Schizosaccharomyces pombe: one gene and its partners. The protein of the gene in region 3 interacts with the protein of the main gene of each other region in a pairwise test. Each region holds a gene or a part of one and is shown on either strand. Other genes may lie near its edges.

Region 1 (6,998 bases), on a different chromosome or scaffold from region 3:
TGCAGAATACTTCGTTCCTTTTAAAAGTGTCGTTAGTTGCTGATCATAGATTACCGCTCCCATCGATATTCCCACAGATGCACCCATATTTCTTAGCAGCATAAATGCAGAACAGGAAGTCGCTATCAAAGCAGGAGGTACAGAAGCTTGAACAGCAATGAGATTTGGTTGAAATAGATTTCCAGTTCCGACTGCTGTCAAAGCCAAGAATCCCATGGTACGTGATATGTCCGTGTTATAATATATCGCAATCATACTACCGGTACCAGCTAATAAAACTATCCATCCTCCAATCATTGGATATCGATAATTTTTCAACTTTCCTATTCCCATACCACTAACAGCAGAAAGAAGTGAGGATACAACCGCTAGAGATAATGTGTGAACGCCAGACATCAAGGGCCCGTCACCTTTAATGTTTTGGAAGTATACTGGGATGTAGTAAGTAATTGTTGAGACAATATAATAATGTAAAAAGGATGTTACCATTACAGATGTTAAAGAGAGCGTTTTAAATGCCGAGGGAGTAATAATTCTAGTACGGGTAGTATAGAATTCATTGACAACAAAACCGGCAATGCACAGGATACCAAAAATTAAATAGCACAAGACATTGGCATGGGCCCAATGACCTGTTGTAGATCCAATATTCAAACCAACTAAAAACAACACAACACCAGTCGTAATGGTAATAATGCCCACAAAGTCAAAATCACGTAAAAACACGCGAAACGAAACTGTAGGCTTGGGTACAAGATTGAGGAAAAAAATCAAAAGTGCGAGCGAAAGACCACCAGTAGGTAGATTAATGAAGAAAATCCACCGCCAACTAGCCTTTTGCGAAATTGCACCACCGATTAAAGGACCCATGACAGAAGCAAGGCCCCAGGTGACTCCCATACAACCTGTGTAGTAAGGTCTAGTCTGTAAAGGAGTAATGTCAGCTATAACGATTGTAACTAGAGATGTAATGCCTCCACCGCCGATGCCCTGCACAGCACGGCATAGTACAAGCCAAAGCATATTTTGGGCAGCACCACACATGGCACTACCGAAGAGGAAAAGAACAATGGAAGTATAGAGGACAATTTTCCTACCGACTACTTCACTCATGATACCACAAAATGGAAGAATTGAAGTTTGAGCCAAAGTATAAGCAGTACCAATCCACGAATACGATGAACCGCCATCGAGATTTGCTACAATAGTGGGAATAGCTGTAGTAATGACAGTTTGGTCCAAGGCGGACAGGAAAATCGACAACATAAGTCCTGGAATAACGATGTACATTCGATTGGAGGGCAACACGAGGGTGAAATCGGAAGAATCATCTTTCTCAGACGATGCTTCATGGGTTGAAAACCGAGACTTTAGAGAACTAGTACCATAAATTTGATCTTGGGCTGAAATAGAAAAGGCTTTTGATTTTGCAGGCTTTAGCTCGTTCACCTCATCAACGGTGGAAGAGAACCATGTTACCTCATTCCCTGTGCTATAGAGATTCAATCCTCTAGTCGGATTCAAGCTACGATTTGGAGAAGACGAAGGGTTCATAATATCTTGGAGCTGAGAGACAAATGCAATTGTAAAGAAAGGGGTTCACAATTACAAAATGCAAAACGAAATGAAGTAAAATTCAAAAAGAAAATAGTAAGGAATGCAAGAAAAATTAAAGTAATGCAATATAATGACACTCTTGATTAGAAATATAACAAATGAAGAAATTAAAGGATGAAAAACAACATTCACATAGCAGCTATAGTGCTTGAATAGTTTTTAAATGGAAACGGACGCATTGTTATATTAATTTACAATGGAACTTTTTGACGATTTACAAAGATAGGAGATTCCGAGGAAGCACGCATCAGGCTGAACTAGAATGCCTAGTGGCAGCACATAGATAAAGTCCATGCACAACAGTATAAAGGAAGTGCACAAAGACAAAGGCAACCCTAGTTGAGCATCAAAGGGATGAGTATTTGAGCATCCTGACTATGACTTTGGCATGATTTCTGAATGATAACTCCGTATACACTTTTGTTTGGAACAGCCACAATTAAACAAATTTTAGAACATGCAGTAAGGTTCAGTAAACAGAAAGAGAGAAACAACGATGCTGCATAGTGTGAACGAGCTGAGTTCGATCGTAAAGTGACAGTAGCGAAGAGACAGACTATTATTGATTGTTAGGTTGACTGAAAAAATTTACAAAAAATGAGGTATTTTGATTTGACTATAAACAAAGCAAATTTCAGTATTCAATCTTTAAGCAAGTTTCTTAGGAGAAACCTAGAAGCAATGCAATACTATAATGGTTAAACAAAAAAGAGCTAACGTTAACCTGCAAAAGAGATGATAAAAGAAAGCAGTAAAAATAAAGCTATAGTTGCTATAAGTATGCAAGTAGTATGTAACGTATGAACTATTATACAAATTTCCCTTTGTATTGAAACTCGATATTAAAACGTTCTTTTAGTTTAAGAATCGCACTGGGACATCGGAAAATAACTGGGCAATGCACAGCCATTAGGAAGACTTTAAGAAAAAAAAAAACGACAGCTACTGCAAAACATCAAAGTTACAAGCGATTATTCCGACTGTTGAAATTTCAACACCCGACCCCCAAGGATCTAAGCATGATTTAAGCAGTAGGAGAGGCCTGAAAACCTGCATATCTAGCTCACAATACATTCATAAGAAGAAAAATAGATAACTTTAGATCTGCCATATCACTACTAAACAAAGAACGAACCTTCCCTTTATCGAGAAAGATAAAGAAGATAGTGAAATAAAGGTGAAGAACATGTTACCTTAGTGAAAATTTTACAACGCGGAATTACTCTGATATAACCTGCGAATGAGATTCGCTAATATTTCTGGGTGGCCTCCACGGACTTAAGAAAGAGCAAGTATATTAATTTTCATTCCGTTTTTGAACTTGTCTTTAGTATATGCCATTCTTTCTCTTCTTATTGAAAAGTACTCGAAAATAAAAAAAATGTCTCCTCATAAAATTAGTGATAACCACCGTCATTTGATGTTAAGTAGATTTATGATGGGAAATGGTGTTTCCATCATAAACATGCCTTTCTCTGGTGGCCAGCCCAAGGACGGTGCAGAGTTGGCTCCCGAAATGGTTGAAAAGGCTGGCCTTGTGGATGATTTGGAACACCTTGGATACGATGTCAAGCTCATCCAAAACCCCGAATTTAAAAGTCGTCCTTCCAAGGAGGGTCCCAACCAGGCTTTAATGAAAAACCCTTTATACGTTAGCAATGTTACTCGTCAAGTTCGTGATGCTGTCCAACGTGAATTAGAACAGCAAAGAGTTGTTGTCAACATTGGCGGTGATCATTCTCTTGCCATTGGTACTGTGGAGGGTGTGCAGGCCGTTTATGATGATGCCTGTGTCTTGTGGATTGACGCTCACGCTGACATTAACACTCCTGAATCTTCTCCTTCTAAAAATCTTCATGGTTGCCCCTTGTCATTTTCTTTAGGATACGCCGAGCCTCTCCCTGAAGAGTTTGCTTGGACCAAGAGAGTTATTGAAGAGCGTCGTCTGGCTTTTATTGGATTGCGTGATTTAGATCCTATGGAGCGCGCTTTTCTTCGTGAGCGTAACATAGCCGCTTATACCATGCACCACGTCGACAAATACGGAATTGGCCGTGTCGTTGAGATGGCGATGGAGCACATCAATCCTGGTAAGAGACGACCTGTCCATCTTTCCTTCGATGTTGACGCTTGCGATCCCATCGTTGCCCCAGCCACTGGTACCCGTGTTCCAGGCGGTTTGACTTTCCGTGAGGCAATGTACATCTGCGAAGCTGTAGCTGAATCCGGTACATTGGTTGCTGTTGATGTTATGGAGGTTAATCCACTACTTGGTAATGAAGAGGAGGCCAAGACTACGGTGGACTTGGCCCGCTCTATCGTTCGTACTAGTCTTGGTCAAACTTTACTTTAAAATTACAATTTATCAATATATAAAACGAATATTGATTTTCATGAGCTGACGGGACGAAGAGTGCATTCTTTTTATGTGGAATTAAGGGAAAAAATATAAATAACGTTACTATTGTTTAACCGTTTAAATAGAATTGACTTAGGTATTAACAAGTTTTTTGATCTGATTACTGAAGTTGAGTAAAAGCATATTATCACGTAAACATTTTTATTAAGGATAATCACTAAAAGTAAAACAAAATAATCAGTACAACGGAGGATACGACTCCAACGAAACCGGTGAACCATTGATTGGTTTGTATTTTCATGTCATTAATTTCTTTGTGTAAAATATCCACTTCATTGAGAATTTTCGTTTCATTTTCGTGAATATTTGTGTTTCTAGACGTTGCGGCATCTTTCATACGTCCTTTTTCAAGGTTTAAATTCAATCTGACTTCAGACAAAGCGGTTTTAACGTCTTCGCGGAGAGAACTCTTGGTTTTTTCAATTTCGTTAATAAGTTTATCAGAGCTTTTCCTAACTTTATCAAATTCATTTTCCTCAATCGTCTCCAAATACTTCCGAATTTGTAAAAATGTTCTTTTTTGCTGGAACGACACAGATTCCTGCTTAGCTTTAAATCCTATATTTTTCTCTAACTCTGTAAGCCTATAACGTTAGTTGGAAAGCTCTTAAACTTTTTACTTACGCCTCTCCAGTAATGGTCCTCATCAAATTAGTAATTGTTTCTGCATTTTTTACAGAATAACCAGCCTGCTCTAGTCTTCTGGAAGACTGTTTAAGCAATTCAGGGCTTGGTTCATAAGATGCAGAATATCTTTCGGATTGGATTCTATTAATAATCGTCCAAGGTCTATTTTGACTTAGAAATGGGAAAATTTGTTTCCGAATAATCATTTGTTCCTTTTTTATTTGTAAATTCTAAGGAACGATTCAATATTCATGGGCGATTTGAGAAAAGATACGTCAAAAAAAGTAAATTATGTTAAAGAAGCAGACAATTGCATTTGAAGAAAATCAATCTTTATACTACTACGTTCGGTGGTGATAATTTAGAGGTTTTGGTGTTTCTGATATGGTAAAATAAGGCGGACTAATGAATATTTTAGTCTCTAAAAATAAAAGAAATATATATGTATATTAAATAATAATTTTTTAAACGATTTAAATTGGGTTTTATTTCCATGATTATTCTTCACAAATTATGACTAAGGTAAACCAACTTGCTTTAAATTTTAGCGGGCCAGTCTTTAATATAGCATTTACACCAGCACCAAATGTACGCTAACAAATAAGATTGTGGATGCTGAAATTGCGTAAAAATAAAATGTACAATATTAAACAAACTTCTTTCTCAATGTTAAAAATACGATTTTCTTAATCCTAAGCCTCAAATAGTTTTCGGTATCTGTAAAATATTCGACGTATCTTATATAGTAATTAATAAATATTATTTAGTGTCCCACTGAAAAAGCGTTTGCAGTGTAAACCCGTTAATAATTAAGTCTAGAGGAAATATGTAAAATTTTGAAAAAAAAAATTCCAAAAGTAATATGAAATGCATAAGGATCAATGGAGACCACCTATAAATATAAAATCGTACGAGTGAAAATCCTAAAAAAATGTCATGTACGTAGTGAAAGCCATTGCGAAGGCACCAATAGTAAACATAAAAATATCAAGAGTACGTAAAATCCAATTATTTGCACAAGCCTTATAATGTAGCATCGGCGGATACATATAGATAAGCGGTATGCAACAGACGCTACCTACCATACTTACAAATAAATCAAGACGTGAAGATCCACTAAATTGTTAGCAAATGAAGAAATAAAAAAAAAAAGGAAAAACGTACGCCCAAGATATTAGGATAGCTAGAATAACAATTAAGACACGAAGATAATTCTTCCTCCATTTAATTTTTCTGTTTCTTTTACCGCTTCTAGTGAAAATTCCCTGTTCAATGATAGCAATTGCAGGAAACAATTGCAATGGGGTACTAAGCAAAATTGCAATAGCATACAAGAATTGGATAATAACGGTGAAAGTACTCTCTGGCATATTCAAAATAACCACCGTTTTGACCTTTGAACCAAAAGCAGCGTAAGACAGCAACCCAATAGAAATAAACAAGAGAGAGATCGCTGCCATCACACCTGTGAGGAGCTTAGGTAAATTCTTTGGTTTAGCCATCTGTTCTTGGATAGGCAATATCAAACAAATTCCTTCGTAAGTAAAAATGGCAACACCAATAAATAAACTAAAATCAGTTTTGTTAAACATTGCAACATCGGCTATTCCTTTAGTGGCTAGCGTAATCACGTCCCAGAAATACAAATATAATATCCCTAGCAAAATAAAAACATCAGCAATTAAAGCAGTAGCAGAAAGTTTTGATATCTTGCGAACGAGCGATAGAGGGACAAATACCAAAAACTGAATAAAAATGAAAACAGCTAAATGGTATTCTCGGTGAGTAGTGGATATAACTTTTACACATGCTTGTAATGTGCTAGCAACAAACGAAATATAAGCACTCGAAAATCCAATCTTAATGCATTTAGTAAAATATTTAAATTTAAAAACTTACCTGTGAAACCACGATAGAAGCAAGAATAGCAAATCGCATATGAGGACCATATAAAGTTCCCCCAATATCACCAAAACTTCCAGGTACCTTCATTCGAGTCTGAATGAGAAGTAAGAAGCAAATATGAGACAATACTCCCACAATAAGAAGGGTCGCACTTGAAAATACCAATCCACCTAATTTAAAGCTAGACATCGGTTAATATTCTAGGAAATAATAAAATAAAAAAACGTTAATTCCATAAAACTTACGCTTTGGGAAGAAAGAGTACACCGGTACCAACAAATGACTTTAAAAGTAGAAGTACAGCTTTTCCGTTTGAAGCATTTCCAGGCGTCTGTAGTTTGTAACGTCCATGACGAGAAATCAAAGGTTCTTGCTCAGAGGGAACAGTAGAATGAATCAAAGAAGGATTAACGTCTCGAGGCATAGCAAA
Region 2 (7,133 bases), on a different chromosome or scaffold from region 3:
CTTTTTCATTTCCTTTGACCAATCTTTTCTCTTCTTTTCACCTCTATTCTCTTCTCTTCTCCTTCTCTTTTTCATTCTATCCTTTTGCTCTTCTTACTTGCTTGCTTGTCTTGTTTAAGTAGCGTGTTTTGTTGTACTCCTGTATCATGTCTTCCGAAAAAGTCCTCGTTGGTGAATACCTTTTCACCCGTTTGCTGCAATTGGGCATCAAATCCATCCTCGGTGTACCCGGCGACTTTAACTTGGCTTTGCTCGATTTGATTGAGAAAGTGGGCGACGAAACGTTTCGCTGGGTCGGTAATGAAAACGAGCTAAACGGTGCTTATGCCGCTGATGCTTATGCTCGTGTTAAGGGCATTTCTGCCATCGTCACCACTTTTGGCGTCGGTGAACTTTCCGCACTCAACGGTTTCGCCGGCGCATACTCTGAACGTATTCCTGTCGTTCACATTGTCGGTGTTCCCAACACCAAGGCTCAAGCCACTCGTCCCCTTCTTCATCACACACTGGGAAATGGTGACTTTAAAGTCTTCCAGCGTATGTCCTCCGAGTTGTCTGCCGATGTCGCCTTCCTGGATAGCGGTGACTCTGCCGGTCGTCTCATCGACAACCTGTTGGAAACGTGCGTTCGCACTTCAAGACCCGTTTATCTGGCCGTTCCTTCGGACGCCGGCTACTTCTACACGGATGCTTCTCCCTTGAAGACTCCATTGGTTTTCCCTGTTCCCGAAAACAACAAGGAGATTGAGCACGAGGTGGTTTCTGAGATTCTCGAATTGATCGAAAAATCCAAGAACCCTTCTATCCTCGTTGACGCTTGTGTTTCCCGCTTCCACATTCAACAGGAAACCCAAGACTTTATTGATGCGACCCATTTCCCCACTTACGTTACTCCCATGGGTAAGACTGCGATCAATGAGTCATCCCCCTACTTTGATGGCGTCTACATTGGCTCCTTGACCGAGCCTTCCATCAAAGAACGTGCCGAATCTACTGACTTGCTTCTCATCATCGGTGGTCTTCGCTCCGATTTCAACTCGGGCACCTTTACTTATGCTACCCCTGCATCTCAAACCATCGAATTTCATTCCGACTACACCAAAATTCGTTCTGGCGTTTACGAGGGCATTTCGATGAAACATTTGTTGCCCAAGCTCACCGCTGCCATTGACAAAAAGTCCGTTCAGGCAAAGGCCCGTCCTGTTCACTTTGAGCCACCAAAGGCTGTTGCTGCTGAGGGTTACGCCGAAGGAACCATTACCCACAAATGGTTCTGGCCTACGTTTGCCTCTTTTCTTCGTGAGTCCGATGTAGTGACTACCGAGACAGGTACCTCCAACTTTGGTATTTTGGATTGCATTTTCCCCAAAGGCTGCCAAAATCTCTCACAGGTATTATGGGGCTCAATTGGTTGGTCGGTTGGCGCTATGTTTGGTGCTACGTTGGGCATCAAGGATTCCGATGCTCCTCACCGTCGTTCCATATTGATTGTTGGTGACGGTTCCCTTCATTTAACTGTTCAGGAAATTTCTGCTACCATCCGTAACGGTCTCACCCCTATCATATTTGTAATTAACAATAAGGGATATACAATTGAACGTCTCATTCACGGTCTTCACGCTGTTTACAACGACATCAACACTGAATGGGACTATCAAAACCTTCTTAAAGGCTATGGTGCCAAAAATTCTCGCTCCTATAACATTCATTCAGAAAAGGAGCTCCTCGATCTCTTTAAAGATGAGGAATTTGGAAAAGCTGATGTAATTCAGCTCGTTGAAGTTCATATGCCTGTCTTGGATGCTCCTCGTGTTTTGATTGAGCAAGCCAAACTTACCGCTTCTCTTAACAAGCAGTAAAAAATATGGCTATGGCTATATTATTATGATATGTTTTTGATTTTGAAATTTACAATATTTCTCAAATGATGCTTTTGTTAGGTTAGTTAATTTGCAACAGTCGTTTTTTTTTTCTACGTCAATCCATATTTCTTTCATAAAATGAATGAATATATTGAAGTTTATGCAGCGGTTGTTTTTTTGTTGGTAATTAGGATTCATTGAATGATTTATTTTTTTTTTCTTTTTGCATCCCCTTACTCCAAGGTAGACTTGTCCAGATAATTCCCTGTTAGTATAAACTCAATAACATAAAAAAAGGTCATTGAGACGACTGGTAATGAGTAGCAGCAATAGAATCACTAAATAATATAGTACCTTCAATTTGGTCTCTCGTCTATGTCTTTGGCATAGATGGTAGATACAAAGCATTCGCTACAACCAAATCTTCCTCATGGCTTACAGATACCATTACGGGAGAAAGCGGAAATCGGGGATCATGAATAACAACGGAAGGGTAGCCTATATTAATCATAACAAAGTCAGTAACTTTACAAACCTTTTATTTTTAAACATTGAACATGGAAAACAAATGACACACCTGTGGGAGTTCGAACATACTCCATCATAGACATGTAAACTCGAAAATTCGGTTGTAAAGCTTTGAAAACAGCTTCTTTGACGCACCATCTACATAGGAAAATAACCGTTAAAACTATGAAACGATCATAAATATAGACAAGCATACCTAACAGCAAGCCATTTAGCCTGTTCGCTTAAACGAGGCAGCGAGGAATTGCTTTTAATCAGGTTGTACTTTTTAATTTCATTTTCACACAGACATTTTTTTAAAAAGTTCTTTTCCCATTCAGGAGAGCGTTGAATTAATCTTGAGATTCTTGAAATTTTTAAAATGTCAATCCCTAAACCCATTTCGATTTTTGATTCTTTATAACATGAACAGGAAATATTAATGGTAATGCAAGAAGAAAAAAAGAAATCTATGGCTTCAATAATTTTGAACGCTTAATTAATAATATATTGTAAACTAAATTTCCGACACACTAAACGAGATATAAAAATCTTTATCCTTAAATAAAATGAAATAAATTTATCTAATTCATTATCGATTAGTGCCCCCAAAGACATCAAATCCAATTCGTTTCGTAGCGAATGCAGTAGCAGGAGTTTTTACTGTAACAAGTGTACTCTCTACTCACTCCCAGTTACAAAAGTGTTCAAAGGGAACCAAAAATTATATATTTGTAATCCTTTCAATCACGAAAAAAAAAATTTCATATGGTAAGAGATAGAATTTATCTCTAGATAATACGAGTACTAACCATATAGTCACACTTTGAGATTTTATCCCTTGAAGGTCTTCGAAATGGTAAGCCAATTCATTTATGGGAAATGAAAAAGAAACTTAAAATTTACATTCAAACATCTATGATTCTTATAAAATGTATTAATCTTTCTGTGTGCTAATATTTGTTGCAAGATGGTCGACGGTGGGATGAGATGAGAAACTTTCAGTGTCGTATTGGAATCGAGCCTTCGGAGAATGGGTCGGCGTTTATTGAATTGGGTAACACAAAGGTCTTGTGTATAGTCGATGGACCCTCGGAGCCTGTAATAAAGTCCAAAGCTAGAGCTGACAGAACATTTGTGAATGTCGAAATAAACATTGCTTCTTTCAGCACAATAGATGTGAAAAAGAGATTTAAATCGGATAGGAGAATTCAATTGCAATGTTTAGCTTTACAAAATACATTTGAGGAGATAATTCAAACAGAATTATATCCCAGAAGTCAAATTTCTGTCTACTTGCATGTTTTACAAGATGATGGTGCAGTAATGGCATCTTGTATCAACGCTACTACTCTTGCCTTAATAGATGCTGGTATACCAGTTAAAGATTTCGTTTGCTGTAGTACAGCTGGGATTGTTGAGTCTGATATGCTGTTGGATTTAAACTCACTAGAGGAGTCAGCTCTTTCATGGTTGACGGTTGCTGTTTTGGGGAACATAAAAAAGGTCGTATATATGCAGCTGGAAACTAGTATGCATTTGGATTATTTGGAGTCAGTAATGAATATGGCGATCGCTGGATCAGAACATATTTATAACACGATGCAAAGTGCGGTTCGACAAAGCGCTAAACCGGCACTTGCAAGTCTCAGCTAATGACAAAATTTTGGGGAAAAAAACTATTAAAAATAAATGAACGGGAAGATTAATTTTTATAATTATACATTGATAAGTCATCACAATTGCAACTTTACTTAGCTCTACGATATTCTGACAAAACGTATACAGCTTTACTCATTTTATTCCTAGTACAACGTTTTTGTCCTTATCCTTGGTATTTCTGTATAAGTATCAAAAAAATCACCTCGAATATCGTATATAATCTTTTAATGATTGCGTCCCTTTTTTGTCTAAAGGGGCTTATATTACAAAAAATATGGATTGTACTGTAGATATTATGCATCAAAAAAGGCTCATTAATTAGTTGAAGATTTTATGAATAAATTCGGTTATTCAGATCTCACTTATTATAATAAATTGATTATTTTTTGGGGGAGGCTTTCATAAACAACCGGGAATTTTTCATTCAACAGATATTACAGATTGATGTGGATTAAAAAGAAAATATATATATATATATATATTTTTTTAGATTTTTAGATATAAGAAACCTAAGGTTTATTATGAGAATCGTAAAACTGTTTTTCGAGATAAATGTTAAATTTGTTAATGTTAAAATATGAAAAACACAGTATTTTTATTTTATATATTTCTATAATGGTGCAAACTAACAGTAGCTCTTGTAGCTCAGTGGTAGAGCGCCTGTCTCGTAAACAGGAGGTCCAGTGTTCGAGTCACTGCCGGAGCAGTTTTTATATTTTTCGATCACAGATCGGCCTTTCTAATAAGCATTGAAAGCTACAAAATGAGTATACTAAGATACTTATTAATGCATATTCTTGTAAATAGGGTTTCTCACAATTCATCGAATATACATACTCAAATTCTGCCGTTACTAGTTGATTGCTGATTTCAAGGACATCTTGATTAATAAAATGGAAGAATCGCTGTAGGATCAACAGTTAATATTACCTTCGTTTTAAAAATGAGGAATCTCGTGCCGTTCAACCAAAGTAAAAATGAAACTTCGTCAAACTGCATGACTAAGTTTCCCCTTTCTGTTTTTGATGCTTTCATAGCACTGTCAAGAATACCGTTGCGCAAATATCTGGCAATTATATACATACCAGTTCATCGCGGCCTGATTTAAGTTTTGTACGTTTTATTGTTTTCAATTGTTTTTACTAGACAGCATACTGAAATATGCCTTCAACAGTTTTTAATTTTATCAGTTTGATTGAATACATCAGTTTCCCTAAATGCTTTCTATCTTTGCCTTCAAAAACTTATTGCTTATACATGTTATAAATATACTATTTAAACGTCTACGGCCATACCTAGGCGAAAACACCAGTTCCCGTCCGATCACTGCAGTTAAGCGTCTGAGGGCCTCGTTAGTACTATGGTTGGAGACAACATGGGAATCCGGGGTGCTGTAGGCTCATCTTTTTTTGTTGATGATTTGCTTCTTTTTATATTAACATATTTGGAAAATACTTGTAATTAATTTAAAGCGGCTTTTCTCATTCTAGGTACTAGATGAGTACTTTCGTTACAGCGCAATTCTTGTATTGACCAGGTACGAATCGGAATGGAGGACATCCCACAACAGACAAAAAATGAAATACAATTCACAAATTAGTACCACATCTTGTTCATTTTCATGAACAAGTGTTAAAGAACTTTTATATTTATATAAAAGACATATTCAACTGGTTGTCTTTACTAAGTTTAGATGCATTCTTGATTCAATGTATCTACGAGAAGCGCATTGAAAAAAAAAAGTTTGTTTGTAATAGTTTATATTCAAAGACTGTTGAAAACACATTTCCTCAACTATTCTTGAGTTTGGCATTGATAACCTTTTGAATTTCATTAATACGAGTTCTCACTTTTTTTTGTAATCCAAAAAACGGTGATGGATGGTTTGTAAGGCAATGGATTAACAACTTTTCAATAAAATAATTCTTTACTCTAGTCAAAGGAACAAGTGGAATCAATTAGACAGAGTCTTCTATTCGTAAACTTTCCAATTGTAATTTTCGTTTGAGGGAAAAGAAAGTTTAAGTATATTATCTGTAATTCTAAACGATGTAGTAAACTAGTAGTTTATTAAACACTTTAGTTTATTAAATACTTTACTGCTAGTTTATTCAGCGTTCGGCTGGTAAGCCAGTTATCACCGATCGTTATGTGCTTTTAGATACTAATAAATCTTCTTTAAGGAAACTTTTTAAATATAAAGAATAATTATTGATAAACAGTTAAGTTAAAATGACCAATGTCTGGGTTCTGAAAAGAAGCAAAATTGGCCCCTAGAGTTTAGAAGTGGGTAGTCCACACAAATTTTTACTCAGAACCAAACACTCAACACTTTGCAAAAATGTCGACGACAAGCTGCAGAATGTACGAGAATCGCTTCCCGGAAGTGGATGAACTCGTTGTTGTCAACGGTATGTAAAAAATGCACATGTTGTCTGTCTAAAGAAACGGTAATGGCTAATATTTCCAATAGTTCGTCAAATCCAGGAGATGGGCGCTTATGTAAAATTGTTGGAATACGATAATATTGAAGGAATGGTTTTGCTCTCTGAGCTTTCCAGACGTCGTATTCGTTCAGTACAAAAGCATATTCGCGTTGGTCGTAATGAAGTCGTCGTGGTCTTACGTGTCGACAAGGAAAAAGGTAAGAATTTATTAGTAGTTTTTTTTTTTTTTTTTTTTAAAAAAAAGAAAAACAAAAGGGGAAAAAAGGTTTATAAGTTGTTAGGAATGTACTAACCAGGATTAAGGATACATCGATCTTTCAAAGCGCCGTGTTAGCCCTGAGGATGTTGTAAAGTGCGAAGAACGCTTCAACAAATCTAAGGCTGTTCATTCCATTATGCGCCATATTGCTGAGAAGCATAATGTTCCTTTGGAGACCATGTATACCACAATTGGATGGCCATTATACCGCAAATATGGACATGCTTATGACGCCTTTAAGCTTGCTATTAGTAACCCAGATCATGTCTTTGAGGGTTTAGAACCTCCCAAATCGGGTGTTATTAATGATTTGTTGGCTCAAATCTCTCGTCGTCTGACGCCTCAGCCCATTAAAATTCGTGCTGACGTTGAAGTCACTTGCTTTGGCTACGAAGG
Region 3 (10,108 bases):
TATCCAAAGTTGGCTTCTCCATTATTCGAAGTTCTCAATAGCGTTATCGCTTTGAAAGAGGATATTGTTTCATCAAATTATTTGCTTCAGCTACTTCTAGGATTGTTATATGAGATGATAGGAGCCTCACCGATTACTGAACTGTCACCCTCCATTAGAATCGATACCTTAGTGGGTTGTATTCGTTCTACCAATAATCCACAGATTCAAAATAAGGCATTGTTACTTGTTAGTGCTCTAGCGAATGCTGCTCCTGAAGCTGTTTTACATGGTGTTATGCCGATATTTACTTTTATGGGTAGTACTGTCTTATCAAGAGACGATGCATTTTCCATCCATGTCATTGAACAGACTGTCAAAACTGTTATATCTGCACTAATAAGATTAGGTAAGGATTTTGACTCTTCCTTGCTGGTATCATGTTTTGTGAATGCGTTCCCTCACATCCCTCAACATCGCCGACTTCGACTTTATCGTTTAGTTTTGCAGACAATTGGATCAAATAGATTTTTATCCGTTGTTTTAATACAGTTTGCTGAAAAAATGTTGCTGGCCAAATCTACGAATGTTGTTGCTATACATGACTTCTGCTTAACACTTGTGCAATCTTTCTCTGTTGCTGATCGTATTGGATCGATCAATCAATGTTCAAGATTCTGCTTAAAATCCCTTGAGGAGCAATCTAATTCAGACTCAAATGGCAAAGCTGTCAGCTTGATAAAACTTGATGAACTTCCAATGGATGTGGATTTAGCGACTCTCGGGTCATTACGAGTAAAAGTTTTGGAGTTAATTTCACTTGTGTCTAAGGCTAAAAATTTTGCTTTTGATTTGGCGAAGATAATGGAGAATTCTGTTGATTCATTTGTCGAAATTCAAGCAGGTTTGTTTGAATCGATAAAATTGCTTATTACACTCAGCCAGCAAAGCTCTAACGAAATGGAGTTGGGGCACGTATATGTGGCATTACGTAGTGTGATACATCTGCTACCTAATGAATTATTTTGTACTGTCCTCGGTAAACTTCTTCATGATGAACGTGCCTTACTACGCCGTAAAGCTTTGTCGATTGTACAACAAAGGGTACAGCAGGGATCTAAAGTGTCTGCATTAACAGCGTTAATTCCTGATGTTACTTACAATATATCCAACTATTCTGATGAAGAAACGACTCAGTTAGCTATGGATTGTCTTGCTGTTATGGCCAAGCGATTTAGTGCGAGTCCTGAACTGTTTATTTCCCCTATTGAGGTGGTTTCAGGTCCCTACGGATTAAAGAATAGTGCACGTGATGTACAGGTATCTGCCATAGTATGTATCACCGTCTTGACCAATACTCTTGCTGCTCGCATCTTGCCTTACTTGGCCGATATAGTTAATTATTCTTTATCTATTTTAGATGATGCTAGAAAAGATCCGGAAGGCGATTTATTAGAGCTAGCATGTTTCTCTATGATGATCGACTTTTTCAAAGTATTACCGGAGTTTAGCAGCAGTTATGTCGAGCCGACAATAAAATGCGCTTTAGCTTCTGATCGTGCGTTTGAACATGATGCTATTGGTGAGCTTTTATTTGAAACAATTGCCAATTTTATACCTACTAGATTGTTGATGAAATCTATATTTGCGGCATGGCCTGAATGTGCAAGACTTGGTTCTACTGCGGCACTCCGTCTTTTAGAGTTGATTGAATTGGCATTACAAAATTCTAGCAGGAGCGCTATTGGGACTGTTTATAAGTCAATATTCAAATTTTTCTTGGATTCCTTTGACAGTAGGCGGTCGCTTTTATTTGCGGAAGACGTTGATAATGTGGAAACTCAAGCAGTTAATGTATTTCTGAAATTCGTGATGAAGTTGAGTGATACAACTTTCCGTCCTTTGTTTTTACATTTGCATTCATGGGCATTGGAAGATTTGTACGAAACTGATCCATCTGGAATAGTATCTCGGCAAACTTTTTTTTACAACTTTTTAACCATTTTCCTTGATACTTTAAAATCCATTGTTACTAACTATTATGCTTACGTTTTGGATGACACGATTGAATTGCTTTCATCGAAAGATACGAATAGTGAAGTTCGTCATCTAGTGAACAGTAGTCTCGTTAGTGCTTTTGAAAACGACACTGAGGAGTTTTGGATGGTGCCCGCACGTTTTGGTAAAATAAGCCCCGTTCTAATTGAACAAATACAATATGCTCCTTTGCTTGATGACAAGGTCCTAGTAAAAGCTATTGTCGAACTGGCTAGTGTAGCCTCATCAAGCGACAACTTTAGATCAATGAATACTCAGTTGTTGCAATATCTTCGATCCTCCAACATCAATGCTCGCTTATTAGCTATCCAAATACAGACACAGCTTTACGGGCGCCTTGGTGAGAATTGGATTTCTACATTGCCTCAATCAGTACCATTTATTGCTGAACTAATGGAAGATGATGATGATCAGGTTGAAACTGCTACGGCTGAGCTCGTGCGGATAATAGATGACCGTCTCGGTGAGAATGAATCCCTCCAAGATTACCTTACATAAGGATTGTAGAGGTTGTGGGTCCGTTTTTCACAGGCTGAGTTTTAAACGGAATCTTTCGTTTTCTAAATTTTTCATTCTAAAAAAAATAATTATTGATTCGTTATGAATATATACGCTTTCGTCTAATCCCTGCCAAAAAAAAAGGAAAAGACGATCATGTTGATTGCAATCCATAATGGGTCTTCTCATCAATGACCTTTAGGGTTGTATTCATCAATTCTCAATTATCTTGGGATTATAAATAGTTTGGTTGGTTTCGGTTTCATAATACTATAAATTAAGAGAGAAATTTTTGCAGTTTACAAATGTTTGACAGCAGCAAAATAATTTTGAAGTTTAAACCAGTGTATTAAAACCCAGTAAATTTCATTGAAGTATCGAAATATTGTATATCTGAGCGACTTCGTAAAGTGCAATCATCCTACATAGCAGTAATCTAGTGGAACGGCATACGTCTTTAAATTTGCTTAAGTCAGTTTTTGTCTAGGAAATGGTGATTTGGCCAGTTTCTTGTCGGTCTTTTATATACAAGAGATAAAATTCTAATTCCATTTATCTATCGAATTGGTAAAAAAAAGCCTCGCTAAGGACTTGTTTAAGAGTTTGCCACTTCGATGTCATAAAAACGGTCAACACTTCTCAATTTAAAATTTGTTTGTACTACTAGTGCATCCTTTTAAACAGCAACGACAGTACTAATGAAGTTTGGATGTGTACAATTTTTTCCCAAGTTGGGAAAGGTGAACGAAAACATCGTTCATCTTCGCCAGCTTTTGGATCAACATTCTGAAGCATTACAGTCTGTTAAGCTATTGGTTTTCCCTGAAATGTGCTTAACTGGTGGGTGGTCTTTATTATTAAGAAGAGTTAGCTAACTTTCCTGTAGGCTACAATTTTAAAAATTCAGAAAGTATACAACCCTTTTTAGAAAACGTAACTAGCAATCATTGTCCAAGCATTCAATTTGCTCAAGAAGTCTCTGAGCAATATCGGTGCTACACCATCATTGGATTTCCTGAGTTTCAAAACTCAAACGGCATTTCTACTCTTTACAATAGTACAGCTCTCATTTCTCCCAAAAAAGAGTTGTTGAACGTTTACCACAAGCACTTTCTTTTTGAAACAGACAAATCATGGGCCACTGAAGGCAAGGGTTTCTCTTTTGAACCCTGTATTCCTGAACTGGGCCCTATTTCAATGGCAATTTGTATGGACATTAACCCGTATGATTTTAAAGCTCCTTTTGAGAAGTTTGAATATGCAAACTTCATTTTGCGTGAGCTAGAGCATCAACAAATGGTTTCTTCGAATGTATCACGACCAATTATTTGTTTAAGTATGGCATGGCTTGTGTCAGATGATAAAGTCATTGATGCTTCCCTGCCCGACATCAAAAATTTACATTACTGGACCACTAGACTTTCACCGTTAATAAATTCGAATACGGATGCAATCGTTCTTGTAGCAAATCGGTGGGGAAAGGAGAATGATTTAAATTTTTCCGGTACCTCTTGTATTATGGAACTTTCTCAAGGAAGAGCTATCTTACATGGTGTCTTGAAAGCTGCTGAGAATGGAATTGTAGTTGGAGAACTTGAAAAATAAAGATGTGCGACGTTTTTTATTTCTATTCATGAAAACATATTATATAATACATATTGGTTTTAATAAGCCTGTTAAATTTCTATTATCGTGATGACATTCCAAATAAAAATGACAACTCCTTTGTATTCAGACGTGAAATTTCTCTAAGCCCTTTTTCCCCTAAAGCGCTATCTATTAGTTCTCTCTTTCTGTCTTGTAAGGCTAAAACTCGCTCTTCAATCGTGTTATTAGTAACAATTCGTAAAATATTTACCGGTTTATCTTGTCCAATTCTATGTGCTCGATCGACAGCCTGTTCTTCGATATAAGGATTCCAAAATGGATCGAGTATGATGACATGATTTGCACAAGTCAAGTTTAACCCGACATTTCCTGCTTTTAAAGAGATCAGTAAAACTCTCACGTTCGGATCAACTTCAAAATTAATAAGAGCTTGATTTCTTTCCGCTGTGCTTAGACCACCAGTATACATAAGATATTTTATACCCTCTTGTCGAAAGGGTACCGTAAAAAGCTCAAGAAAAGAAACAAACTGTGAAAATATTAAAATTTTGTCAGTTGGCTGTTTCTTGATGATTTCTTTAACTGCATTTAATGCTTTTTCAATTTTTGTAGAAGTGGTCCAATGTTTAGGATCCGTAAAGATCTTCATACCCATTTGTCTATTCTCTAAGATATTACTATACTGTTTAGGTAGCAATTCGGAAATGTTTTCTGTTCTTAATTTGTTATCGGCATCGACAATAGGTGCCATTCCAGAATATCGTCTAAATAATGCGTAACTCAAAAGCCTTTCAGTATCGATGTACTCCTCGCAAACTGAGCACTTAGGAGAAATATTTTCGTTGCTTGTTTGCTTAGCCATATCCTCACTGGATGTAATAACATGGGTTAAGCACTCTCTACATAGAAAATGACCGCAAGGCACAATTATCAAAAGTTCTGCAACAACATCCATACATAAGGAGCATTGCAACGTTTCAATTAACTTAAGGCGATTGACAGCCTCGGGATATATTTGGTTGTAGATTGCACGATTCTTAGCTTGAAAGCTATCGTTATCATCAACCGCTGCTTCTCGAGCAACAATTAGCCAGGGATGACAACAAGCCTGTCGAAGTCTCAAAAGTAATACTAGTAGACTACCGTAATGCGTAGTTATAGTCCCTTCTTGAAGATATTTACGCATTTGAATTTGTGCTCCGCTTTGAAGCGTATTGTAAAATTCCATCTCAGAAGAAGAGAGGTCTGTTTCAGATTTGACGGCGGTTTTTGGAGGAAGTGTCAATATTGGCTTGCCATCAATCTTTGTATTTTTCGTTCTACGAAGTAGCACTGCTTTTAATAAGCCACGAAAGCGCTTCATAGGAGCGGACGTGTTTATATTGCTACTTAAAGGAATGGTAAAGTCCTTTGAAAAACTTGACCAGTCTGAATAAGGTTTAATCCTCAGAAATTTTATCAAGCTGTAGAACTCCTCAACCCCATTCTGCATAGGGGTACCACTCAAACACCAACGATAAGTTGATTCTAATAGACAGCATCCACGAGCAGCTAACGTATTCCTGTTTTTGATAGTTTGAGCTTCATCCAATATAACTCGATACCACTCTGCTTCAAAAAATGGAAGGTGTTCAAATTTTTTTATTGGAGCGTTATCTTCGATACTCTTGTCATAAGCCATTTTGTTTTTAAACTCGTAAGCGATGACATTATAAGTAGTCAAAACAATGTCATACGACATCAATTGTTCAGCAATTTTGTGCTTTTTCGAACTTCCGTGATGAATATAAACAGTGGGTCTATGTGAGGGAGCAATTTTAGTAAGTATTTCATTATGCCATTGCTGTAATAGCGACACAGGGGTGATAATCAGAGTTGTTTTAACTGATTTAGATTCTGGAGGCCTTGTTACTAGCAATGCAAGAGCCTGGACAGTTTTTCCTAGACCCATATCATCTGCCAAAATCCCTCCTTTCTTAGAGCTTTCTTCTAATCTTTTTAACCACATTAGTCCTTCCTTTTGGTGTTCCATTAATGTAGGTATTAGTCCAGCAGGTGTACCTTCGCGAATTGTTGGATCGTTGACAAGCTGCTCATCAAGATCTTTGAACAACTCCTCCAACTGTTGTTGCTGATCATCTTGAACTTTCTGGTTATTTGAGTCTGACAAATTGAATCCTTCAATATTGTGAAATCTATCGTGATACCATTGAAGGTGGAATAAGTGTTTACCAGGTTCGGGTAGCTTGGAATCATGCAACAAACCACCCGGAAGAATGACTGAATCCGAGCCATAACGCTTATTCTGAAAATTAATTTCGTTATCTTCTTCGTCTGATAAAGAGATCGGATTATTAGAAGTTCCTTTTCCTTGAAGAAACTTATCATCTTCTAAAGTGTGAGTTGTGTTAAACATCTTATAATTATTATGATGATGAAAAGGAGGAAGAGCTAAAGAATTGGTATAAGAAGGTCCAGCCGTAGATAAAACTGGTAACGAAGGTAACTCTAGTTTTTTCCTTTTCGAATTCATAAACGCAAGCTCTAAATTCCTTTTTTCCTTCATATTAACTTTATCATGGTCGTTCAGTGAAGATTTCGTCCGAACATTATTATCATCGGATTCAGAGTCAGATACGACAATCACAGCATTGTCGTTCCAAAACAAAGAGTCCTGTTTTTGTTCAAAAAGTGCATCAGATTGACTCGGACTAAGCTTATCTGTTGAAGAACTAATTTCGTTTTGCAAAGAGTGGCCATCAACATCAATAGTAATTGCATTGATGTTTGGACGATCAAGCCCAATTTTAGGAGCAATTAAAGTGGCATCCGTGTAAGTAGAATCATTATTTTCAACGGAAAGAGAACTGTTCAGCTTCTCTTCATTAGGCTTTAATGCAATCACACTATTGTCATTAGGAAAAAGGCCATTCACTTTTTCTATGTTAGATTCCATCGTATTTAAAGAGGACGATGAATCATGCATAAAGGCATTGAATAGCGCCTGTTTTCGATTAAGAAAAGCAATTCTCCTTTCCATTTCATGTCTGTTTATATCATTTTTTAACAATTGGTCAGACGATGCAGAAGAAGAATAGTCCGGGGTATTATTTTTATTGAACCCAATGTTATGTTTGTCATCTAAAGGTATTTGTTCACATGGATTTAACGTAAATTGTTCAAAAGCTGTATTATTTCTCATAAATTAGCAAAAAAATGCTTTGTGTTTAAAATGTAGTGTGTAATTTTAGGTAGGCAAACTGGTGTGGTGATACTCAGTCGCCCCAAAAGTTTAGAATAAGTACCAAATGTAAGTTAACAAGGGTAAATGTGTACATGAATTTGTGATCATTCGAAATGGAAGGAAAGAAATTAAATTTTTTAAATCATAAAAAATTCTTATTATAATAATTTCTGTTTTGGGAGAGTTTTATAAAAATGCTGATCAGTAAACCTGAAAGAAATCAAAGGGGTATTGAAGAGTCATCTGTATACATATTTTATAAAAACAGAACTGTGAAACTTTTAAATCCTTGAAAAATGTTAGTAGCGAGATGAAAATGGACGGAATAAATAAATAAATTGAGAGCATTTTTAACCCAGTTCTAATTTGTCATTGTAGTATTAAAAGCGATTTTAAAAATTTTTGATGTTTCTTGCTTAGTTTCCCAAGCAGCATTTTGCAAATTTTCTAATTAAACGTTTCAAATAGCTTAAGCATCGTCCGTGCAGTATCAAAGCAGCTGTAAATTGTTTTAATAAACAAATATTTTAATTAATGTTTTTATATGTTCTACTTTCTTCTAAAGTTGTTTCCCCCTAAATTCAACTAATCTATATGAATACTGTTACATACCCATGCATTTTAAGCTATATGGCTTTACTTAATACCTAAATTTCTTTTTTTTTTTTTTTTTTTTTTTTTTAAATTAAAAATATTCATTACCTTTTTCCTAATTACTTTGTCTTTAAAGTGCAATGCGTAGGTATTGATAGCAGAACCAAATTTCAAAACTATTATTATTTGTATTTCTAAATTTATAATGGTATCTTTCATTAAAAATTGATCAAGTAGTGTCGCTTGAATTCTCTTTAGCGGCTTACTATTCAATATTTATATGACTGAGTGTTGGCGCTTAACCTCTAATGTATTTAGCCAGGTGGATACAAAGACAAACAACTGTATGAAAAATGAAAGTTTATAGAATTAATGGAAACGGTGAAAGCAAAATTTAAGCTGTCTCTAAACCTACAAATTCGCATTTTTCTTTTGCCAGCACCATATGACGCATCCGTAGGATCTGCACATTTCAAGCAACGTAAATCATTTACCTCATTTTACTACTATGACTGAAGCGATGGAACCCTGCGCAGGAATCCAAAACTGCATAAGAAAAGAAATTCAAAAGACATAATTAATAACATGGTTGCACAAATAAAATTCAAAAAAATACTTATGTAAATGAAAAACCTTAAAAAAATCAATAATTTATAATTGCATAAATAGATTGCCTAACAATGTGCTGATAGATAAGTCAACTTACCTACGCTACAACATCGAAACCCCGTATTTGAACAATTCCTTTGTTTCCTTTGTCCTTGTGCTTATATTATTTCTCATTTTCTTATATTTTAATTGAGCTACATATAGAAAGTAATATCGAGGGAATTGCGTCAAATTTGAGTTAAAAATTGCATTTTGATTTTGAAGTTAGCATTTCGCTTTTTTTTTTTTTTGAGGTCTTTTATTTTAATATTTTCTTCTCTTTCTTTTTGCTCGTAGGTTTAAAGCGCAATTGCTGTTATTTTGATTGCAGTAGACTCTCGTGTTTACGTTAATTGCTATATTCGTTTTTCGTTTCTGCGTTCAGCGATACCCAAGTATCGTTGTTATTCCTTCTGCCGTTTAAATTGAACTTTCTCTTCCGTTTTCCTTTAGACATTGCATATTGTGTGCATTTTACAAGCATACATTTTCACTTTTGAGTTGACTTTTCAATTAATTTAATATATTATCATTAACTGATAATTCGTTTGCAATTAAACATTGAAAAGTTTTTTTTCCTTGAATTAGATTTTTTTTTATTAAAGACACCTCTTTTTTTTGGAAACTCCTAATTTATTATTTGAATTTCTTCTAGACTCTTTATCAGTTATCGAAGACTTACTACTTAACTTTGATTCATATTTTTTTACGTTTGGATCGTTGAGTTAACTAATTGGCCTAGTACCAACTAATAATTTTCTCTACCTTCGTTCATTTCACTTTGTGTTTGATCGACTACAATCCAGTTTGTACTTTTTCTTGGACAACTAACCGTATAAGTTATTTCCGTTAACTCACCAAAGTTATTTTAAGAGTTTGTGTTTTGTATACACAGTACATCATCTCATTTTTGTGGTGATAATTAGTCCTTTTGGCGATTTATTCATTGTTTCATCTTCACAAATATCCATTGTCGAAACTTTCATCTAACTTAGTTCAGCCTTCTGTCTCTACCGTGAGCATAGTGTGTCGATTTTTTTTGGTTTCTAGTATAATCCACTCTTTTATTAATTGCTAAAATTTTTAAAATGTCTTCCTCACCGACTGAGTCTGAAATTTTACCCAAGGAATCGCATAATTCGATAGACGAACAAAGCCAACAACCAGCTAATACGGATACTTTGGTTAAAGATAACTCCTTCAATGAACAAGATGACCAAGAAGTGGACAATGATTATAAATCAAATGATGAACCCGTACAATCTCAAGATCCGATTTCTCCAAATATGGCATCCAACGAATCTGGAAATTCCGAAAATACTAGCAACTATGGCTCATCAAGAGATGAAAACGTCTATCAAAAAACGACGCTTTGGATGGGTGAATTAGAGCCTTGGGTTACTGAAGCATTTATCCAGCAAGTTTGGAATACTTTAGGAAAGGCAGTCAAAGTAAAGCTTATTCGTAACAGGTACACAG

The links. Proteins that work in one complex are often made in the same cells at the same time.
Region 1: the proteins of nta1 (region 3) and aru1 interact in a two-hybrid assay, tested with the Schizosaccharomyces pombe proteins (one large-scale study listed by BioGRID).
Region 2: the proteins of nta1 (region 3) and rrp41 interact in a two-hybrid assay, tested with the Schizosaccharomyces pombe proteins (one large-scale study listed by BioGRID).

The regions. Positions count from the first base shown.
Region 1 is NC_003424.3:1,941,233-1,948,230, forward strand, and holds aru1 (arginase Aru1), read left to right. Parts: upstream 1-2,946; 5' UTR 2,947-2,998; coding exon 2,999-3,970; 3' UTR 3,971-4,136; downstream 4,137-6,998. Other genes in the region: SPOM_SPAC3H1.06C (transporter), read right to left, coding at 1-1,554; SPOM_SPAC3H1.08C (uncharacterized protein), read right to left, coding at 4,194-4,620, 4,661-4,869; vacuolar amino acid transmembrane transporter Avt3, read right to left, coding at 5,587-5,779, 5,828-6,522, 6,563-6,749, 6,814-6,998.
Region 2 is NC_003424.3:3,160,084-3,167,216, forward strand, and holds rrp41 (exosome 3'-5' phosphorolytic exoribonuclease Rrp41), read left to right. Parts: upstream 1-3,043; 5' UTR 3,044-3,137; coding exon 3,138-3,140; exon of another isoform or gene 3,141-3,188; coding exon 3,189-3,228; exon of another isoform or gene 3,229-3,339; coding exon 3,340-4,025; 3' UTR 4,026-4,271; downstream 4,272-7,133. Other genes in the region: pdc201 (pyruvate decarboxylase), read left to right, coding at 147-1,859; ppt2 (holo-[acyl-carrier-protein] synthase new8), read right to left, coding at 2,236-2,360, 2,440-2,528, 2,587-2,771; tif211 (translation initiation factor eIF2 alpha subunit), read left to right, coding at 6,373-6,442, 6,505-6,675, 6,782-7,133. UniProt on the Schizosaccharomyces pombe protein: Non-catalytic component of the RNA exosome complex which has 3'->5' exoribonuclease activity and participates in a multitude of cellular RNA processing and degradation events.
Region 3 is NC_003423.3:3,836,874-3,846,981, reverse strand, and holds nta1 (protein N-terminal amidase nta1), read left to right. Parts: upstream 1-3,213; 5' UTR 3,214-3,233; coding exon 3,234-3,375; exon of another isoform or gene 3,376-3,421; coding exon 3,422-4,140; 3' UTR 4,141-4,222; downstream 4,223-10,108. Other genes in the region: U3 snoRNP-associated protein Utp10, read left to right, coding at 1-2,535; rrp2 (DNA translocase/ SUMO-targeted ubiquitin ligase E3), read right to left, coding at 4,223-7,345; splicing factor Cxr1, read left to right, coding at 9,718-10,108. UniProt on the Schizosaccharomyces pombe protein: Deamidates N-terminal Asn and Gln. Component of a targeting complex in the N-end rule pathway.